2 linked regions of the Danio rerio genome follow. The protein of the gene in region 2 interacts with the protein of the main gene of each other region in a pairwise test. Links are inferred from orthologs where the notes say so. Each region holds a gene or a part of one and is shown on either strand. Other genes may lie near its edges. The genes, in order: cetn4 and poc5.

Region 1 (2,958 bases), on a different chromosome or scaffold from region 2:
TTTTCATCCAAAATGTCCAGTATTTAAAAATGTCTCTACATGTATAGTTTTATAAAGAGATTTTTACTCTTTCATAATTGACATTTTATCCTGAAATGTCATTTTAATATTAAATAATACATTAAATAATGAGCATCAGAATTTTTCCAGCTTATTAATTACTATGACTTAAATACTATTACTAAATACTATGACACATTTTCTGAAATCTTATGGTTATTTTGAACATTAAACAATTAAAAGAAAAACACATTCTTTCAAAATATCGCCTCAGTGATCATGAACTAGAAATAGAAAAGGGCAGACATAAAAAATCCTGGACCCCTAAAAAACAGAGAATATGTAAACAGTGTGACACAAACCAAATAGAGGTTGAGACACACTTCCTTCTGTTCTGCCCTAAATACACCACGACTAGAGAAATATTTTCCCCCAATTTGAAACATTGACTTATTCATTTTTCAATTTAAATGATTCAGAAAAAACTTTACCATGTACTCGGAGAGGATGAATTGACATCTAGACTAGCTGCAAAATATGTATACATACACACCATAAGAAATGGTTAATGTAAATTCATTTATCTTATTTAAATAATTTAAACTTATTATTATTATTATTGTTGTTGTTGTTGTTGTTGTTGTTGTTGTTATATTTATCAAAGTTTTTTGTCATTATTTCTTATCTACTGTATTATTATTATTTTTTTGATGGTTTTAATATATTACATATTTAAAGTGCTTTGGCAATACTGTACTGATTCTTATGCCAATAAAGCAACTTGAACTTGAAAATGGGGTAGAAATATGTAATTAAATATGCACTAATTTGCATACATTTACAGAACAGAAAACTGAAGATTGGAAATGGGCAAATTCAATACTCTTATTTATTTATTTATTTTTCAACATATTAAATGTTTATCACTTCATTAACCTGAATATACAGTCAACAGAGATAAACACACACACACACACAACATGTTTTTCAGTAAAACATTGTAGGGCTGCACAATATTTAGTTTCAGCATTGATATGATCTGGAATGTAAACATTGACATGATTTATATTTAATTACTGAAGGTCTGTACCTCAATATTATCAGACTCCACCAAAAACCATAAAGCGCTGCTTGGTTCATTTTTATCTTTGTTCTGTTGTTTTCATCTGTGCTTTAAAATAGTTTCTGCACCTACAAAATCATCCAAATCCATGTGCAATTATGAAATTCTTTACAGATAGAATTTTAAAGTCATCTTGAGAAATTATATTATCACTTTATATTGCAGAAAAACAAAAAAAAATCGCAATGTGAGTTTTTTCAAATATCGTGCAGCCCTAAAATTTTGAATAAATTAAGTCAGATTATTTTTTGATTCTTAAGTGAAAGATGAGCACAAAAACACCTCCTGGTTCCCATTGTTACACTGCATACTAACCCAGTGTCTGACTGTTGTCATCAGGTTGCGATGCGAGCTCTGGGGTTTGAGCCGAAGAAAGAAGAGATAAAGAAGATGATCGCTGATATTGATAAAGAAGGATCGGGCGTAATCGGCTTCAGCGATTTCCTTTCTATGATGACACAGAAAATGGTGAGCAAACCAAACAATAACAGAACAATCTACAGTAAATCTGACCGCTGGAGCGCACCGCAGGCTCTGCAGAGAACGACGCCAATGAGTCTTCACTGTATGATGTGATGTGAACCACTGGACTGACAGAGTCCAGCTTCAATCTAAATTATGAGTGAAATTTGAATTCTTTTTCTAATATTTCCCAAGTGATGTTGACAGAGCATTTTTCACAGTATTTCATATGTAAAATTGAAAATGTAAAATCTGCTGAGGTCAATAATAAAATCCTTTTTTCTGATTGGCTATATTAAATTTCATAGCATTTAAGACCGGCAAAAATAAGCTTTAAATATAATATTCATTCATTCATTTTCCTTCGGCTTAATTCCTTATTTATCAGGGGTCACCACAGCAGAATGAACTGCCAACTATTCCTGCATATGTTTTACGCTGCGGATTGCCTTACAGCTGCAACCCAATACTGGGAAACACCCATACACTCATACACCACAGCCAATTTAGTTAATCAATTCCCCTATAGCGCAAGTGTTTGGACTGTGGGGGAAACCGGAGCACCCGGAGGAAACTCACACCAACACAGAGAGAACATGCAAACTCTACACAGAATTGCAAACTGACCCAGCCGGGACTCGAACCAGCATAGATTTTGGTCATACTTCTGCTCTAAACGTTGTCATTTGTGTGTGTCAACAGAGTGAGAAAGACTCAAAAGAAGAGATCCTGAAGGCTTTCCGGCTGTTTGACGATGACTGCACTGGGAAAATCTCCTTCAAGAACCTGAAGCGAGTGGCTAAAGAGCTCGGAGAGAACCTGACGGATGAGGAGCTGCAGGTGAGTTTTGAATACAGTAGAAGTACACATCGACTGTGAGTGACGTCACTTCCCAATACAAACACGCCCAATGAAATATCCCCTCCCCTGTCGTGTGATTGACAGGTTTGAGTGTTGGCATGGGAAATTCAAATGCAAAAGGATTTGCGATTCCATTAGAGTTTCGTCATGTTACATGCACGACGTGGAGAAAATGAAGCAATTATTGTTGGCCCATAGACACATGGGAAATGCATTTGCAAATGGACTTTGCTTTTTCATTTGGAATGTGGCAGTCACTGCACGTAACGAAAGCGGAAATGCAAACGCTAATGCGGGATTTGCAATTGCATTTGGATTATGACACAATTTATGCAGACACATATGAAAAATGCAATTGCAAATCCTATTTGAAAATTTACATGGATATACTTGCATATATTATTAGCCCCCTTCAGCAATATTAGTGTTGGATTGTCTCCAGAATAAACCACTGTTATACAATGACTTGCCTAATTACCCTAACTTTACCCTAATTACCCTAGTGAAGCCTT
Region 2 (4,612 bases):
CTCTTATTAAAAGAAAATACCCAAAAAACACATTTAAGCGTTTATTTTTTTGCACTTCATCAGTGTGTGTCTATAGATTCCAACAATAATACATTTCAGGCTGTTTTCTTAAAAAGATTTTTCTCTTCTGCACCTCACTAAAAATATCCACCTCATTAGCACTTACATACTGTACAGTTGAAGACAAAATTATTAGCCCATCAGTGAAATTTGTATATATATATATTTTTTTTTTACGAATTTCCTCAATGATGTTTAAAAGAGCAAAGACATTTTTCACAGCATTTCTTATTTACCATCTGCAGAATGTCTTATTTCTTTTAGTTTGGCTGATATTAAATAATAATAAATGAGCAATTGGATGTGACATTTGCAATAAAAACTCAAAACATAAGTTAACAATATGAAATATCTGGTTATATTTTCCAAAACAACTAACCACAGAGTTATGGGATCAAAAATATCAATCTGTAAACATTTGTTTTAGTTTGAATAAGAAAAATAAACATGCGTTATGGATGTGAATGAAAAGTCAGCGAGTTTACAGTATACAACTTTGTAGAAATTCTGTGAATTAAACTGCACAACCCCCCAACCACCTCCGCAAATTGGTCAAAAATAAAAAAATAAATAAAAACTGCTAAAGTAAATTTTAATAGCACCTTTAGAAAATTGGCTACGTATTAAGTACCAGGTGAAATATTAAATATTTCATCATGGCAAAGACAAAAAAAAATTGTTTTTAGAAATATAATAATTTTTAAGCTAATGTGCTTTTTAAAAAATGTAAAAAAAAATGTAAACAGGATTTATTCCTTGAAAAAAAAAAAGACAAATTTCCTAAGATGGCTAAAAATTTTGCACTTCACGCTGAAAAATATACACCAGACTTTACAGTTTTATTCTATATTCAGGACAGGAGGTTTATATGGTAGGACACGTTTATACATAATTTGCTTGATTATATACTATTTGTTTTACAAAAAAAGTTTGCTCAAGGTTTTGTAGTATTAATGTTTTCTGAACTATGAAGTGATTAAAATATATATATCCAGAATCCCCTTTGTTAAAGCTTTTAAGACAAGTAGATTAAAAAATAAACAAATAAAGAATCATTCGGAGCATGAATTCATTCATTCATTGTCCAGATTTTTATTTATTTATTTTGTGCTAGAACTGAAAGCACATGGCTAATCATACAATGGCTGGTTAACATATTTAAACAATTGAGGTAAAGTTGGTTTTACATGATCACTGGGGCTGCACAAAACATCGTTTCAGCATCTTAATGTACGCATTTGCAATAGTCACATTGCAAGATATGCAATGTTGAGTCTGAACTACAGTTGACTCGGAGCTAGGAGATGTATTTAATTACTGTGTTTACACAGAATCTATATCAGGGTGTCTGCATGGTCTTAAAATGTCTGAAATTTCAAAAACTAAATTTTAGGCCTTAAAAAAAGTCTTAAATTTACTGAAATTTAGTCTTGTAGGTCCTAAATCATTTTAAACAGGTCTCAATTTTCCTTTGTGTATGTATAGCTATTCAATTGATCCAACACATCTCAATAAAACTTTTCACAAAACTCTATTTATAACTAATATTATCGTATGTAATGTTTATTTGACATGGGCATAACAATTACACTGGACAAACCAAATGCATTTGTAAATGTTTTTGTAAACTTGCGAACTCTCAACACCTGTCCAAGGGCTTGATATAAAATGAAAGTCAAATAAATATACACAACATTATAATTCTTTACATCAAATTGCTATAAGGCAAAAGCGAAAAAGACTGAATAATTAAAGTAGCTTGGTAAACAATATAGAGACTGTGTCACTGTTCAAACAAATGTGGCTGGCAACATAAAACCAACTTTGCTTCATAACTTAAACACAACATTTAGGAAAACACACGAAACAGCTTTGGGGTGCACTGTGGCACAGTGGGGAACACGATCGCCTCACAGCAAGAAGGTTACTGGTTTGAGCCCCTGTTGGATCAGTTGGCATTTCTGTGTGGAGTTTGCATGTTCATAAACATGTAGTTTATGTGTGTGCATGCAAGAGTGTATGGGTGTTTCCCAGTGTTGGGTTGCGGCTGGACGGGCATAAGCATATAATGTTTAAAACATATGCTGGATAAGTTGGCGGTTCATTCCGCAGTGGTGATCCCTGATTAATAAAGGTTCCAGTCATCGGGGGAGGTATGGGAATAACTAAGTTAAGTTAGTTAGCCATTATCTTTTTTACCCAATGTCTTGCCTTAAGATGAGGAATTCATAGCTAACGTTACTTCCAGTCTAACCTAACATTACTTCAAAACAGTTCCCTATCTAACTCAACCATGTAATCATAATTAAAACACTGACCAGACTAATTAGATAACATTTCCTCATGCAGAGTAACGTTACTAATGTTACTAATAATTATATATTTACAGAACTATAAAATCTAACGAACTCTAACGAAGTTAACTTCAGTTTATTTGAGCAGCAGTGATTTCTCATCGAACTTAACGTTATGGAAGGCAAAGGTTCACTGATGTTTTGTTTTGCTAATGTTCATTACTTATATGGACCATATGGTATATTATACAGTCAAAGAACGACCCAGTGGTCACGCATAAAGCCGATATAAGCAGCGAGCTCCAGAGGCAAAAGTGCAACCCAAGTTCCTGCTGAAGCGTCTTAGCAGGCAGTGTGAGTTAGCCTAAACCCACTGCGTGGTAACAGAGATAAAAGTGTAAGTTCATTACCTTTCCAGAGACAGTTCAAATGTATTTGTTATTCTATTAACTCAGCGAATAGTTCCAGTCTGCAAGAACACACACTACTGTTAAAAGCAGTTTCAAAATGCTAGCCGCTGTAGTAAAAGTCGATTTGATTGGTTGAGAATATTCCACGTCTATTTTGTTCATTGTGATTGGGTAGAACGTTTCCGTGGTAACAGAGACGCGGAAGCGAAGCGACTGTTCACTGTTTGTTGACATGTGTTCCCAATGGTCACAACGGCAAAAAAATATAATATATAATTTTCGCTAAATGCAGTCAGATAAAGATTGATGAAAATCTGAATTAGTATTTTAAAAATGTGTTCCAATGAACATTTACATTTTTTTCTTAGTGAAACTGAAAGCATTTTTGATGCCAAAGTCTGCTAATATTAATACAAAAAGTAGAATTTTACAATAAATACAATTAAACATAAAATATAATCTAAAGATATATGTAAAATGTAGTCTAAAAATATACATAAAGAATAAAAATTTGCAACAATACAATTACATTAACTAGAAAAGTTTCTGGACTTGTTTATTTGGGATAATGTTTAGTTTTATTTTTTTATTTATTTGGTTATTATTTTATTTGAGACATTTTATGTGCATTACTATGTTTCATTTACATTTTTTGCAAATGTATGTTTCATTTACAACCTTTGCAAAACCTGCAAAGGTTTTAGACATATCAAATAAATAGATAAATAGAAAACCTAATTTTTATTTTTAAGTCTCCATTATTACAAATGTGTTATCAGTCACAAATGTGTTCACTTGATTAGTTTTTCTTAGTCGCTTTGGTGCATTTCTCACAAAACTAAGCTATTTACATTTGCACAACAGTTAATGCATTTCTCAAAGCAATCAGTCATTTGTGCACATCATAGTAACAGTTTCTCATTCCTTCCAACAAATGCAAATGCCAAACAGGGTTTGTTTGCAAATGCTGTTGGACATGCATAAACTTTCAGACAACTCTCTGCTGTTTTATATAACATTATCATTTGCTTATGTCATATAGTCAAAATTAACTAAACTTGTGAATGCTGAATAGTAATTCCATATAGCCTAATAATTGTCCTAATTTCATTAGTCTAAAATAAGGGTGTATTGATTCTTTTGCACAATTCTGTGAATACATTTAAATAGCAAAGAGCAAATGCAGTAAAAAAAAAAAAAGTGAAACATACATATTCAGTGTCTTGTAGATACCTCACTAAATGCAGAGCTGTCTAACTTTACTGTAGTTTTCAAATAGCTGTGCAAATAGTATACAGTGCTGTCTTGAGCATTTTCAGGAGATGTCACCAAAATCTGAATTTTTTTTTTTTTTTTTTTTTTTGCATTGGAAAAAATTAACAGAATAAACTGTCATAATAAAAACATGACAAAGCCATTTGACTATCTTGTTCATCAACAATGGTGTCAGGACTTTTCATCTTGATGACATTGACACTTTTATTGACATGAATACTTGCTTTTAAGGAATGAGCTATCCATTTGGAGCAAGTGACACACTTTTGCAGGTTACCAGCTATAGTTTTGCAGTTTGTATACTTATTGTTTTGAGAAATGCATTACTGTTGTGCAAATGTAAATAGTGTTTTGAGAAATGCACCAAAGTGACTGAAAAAAGAAACTATAATTGAATTAGAGATAGATAGATAGATAGATAGATAGATAGATAGATAGATAGATAGATAGATGATAGATAGATAGATAGATAGATAGATAGATAGATAGATAGATAGATAGATAGATAGATAGATATACATATCTATCAATACAAACATATATCTATACAAACATATAGCTGTGCCTGAATGA

Evidence for each region.
Region 1: the proteins of poc5 (region 2) and cetn4 interact in binary tests that used the Homo sapiens proteins (3 or more experiments, as listed by UniProt). The link is inferred for Danio rerio from reciprocal best matches to the Homo sapiens genes POC5 and CETN1.

What each region holds. Positions count from the first base shown.
Region 1 is NC_133189.1:1,595,556-1,598,513, reverse strand, and holds part of cetn4 (uncharacterized protein cetn4), read left to right. Parts: intron 1-1,438; coding exon of another isoform or gene 1,439-1,459; exon of another isoform or gene 1,460-1,462; coding exon 1,463-1,591; intron 1,592-2,287; coding exon 2,288-2,425; intron 2,426-2,958. UniProt on the Homo sapiens protein: Plays a fundamental role in microtubule-organizing center structure and function. Plays a role in sperm cilia formation.
Region 2 is NC_133180.1:46,918,834-46,923,445, forward strand, and holds the start of poc5 (centrosomal protein POC5), read right to left. Parts: upstream 2,867-4,612; 5' UTR 2,765-2,866; intron 1-2,764. UniProt on the Homo sapiens protein: Essential for the assembly of the distal half of centrioles, required for centriole elongation. Acts as a negative regulator of centriole elongation.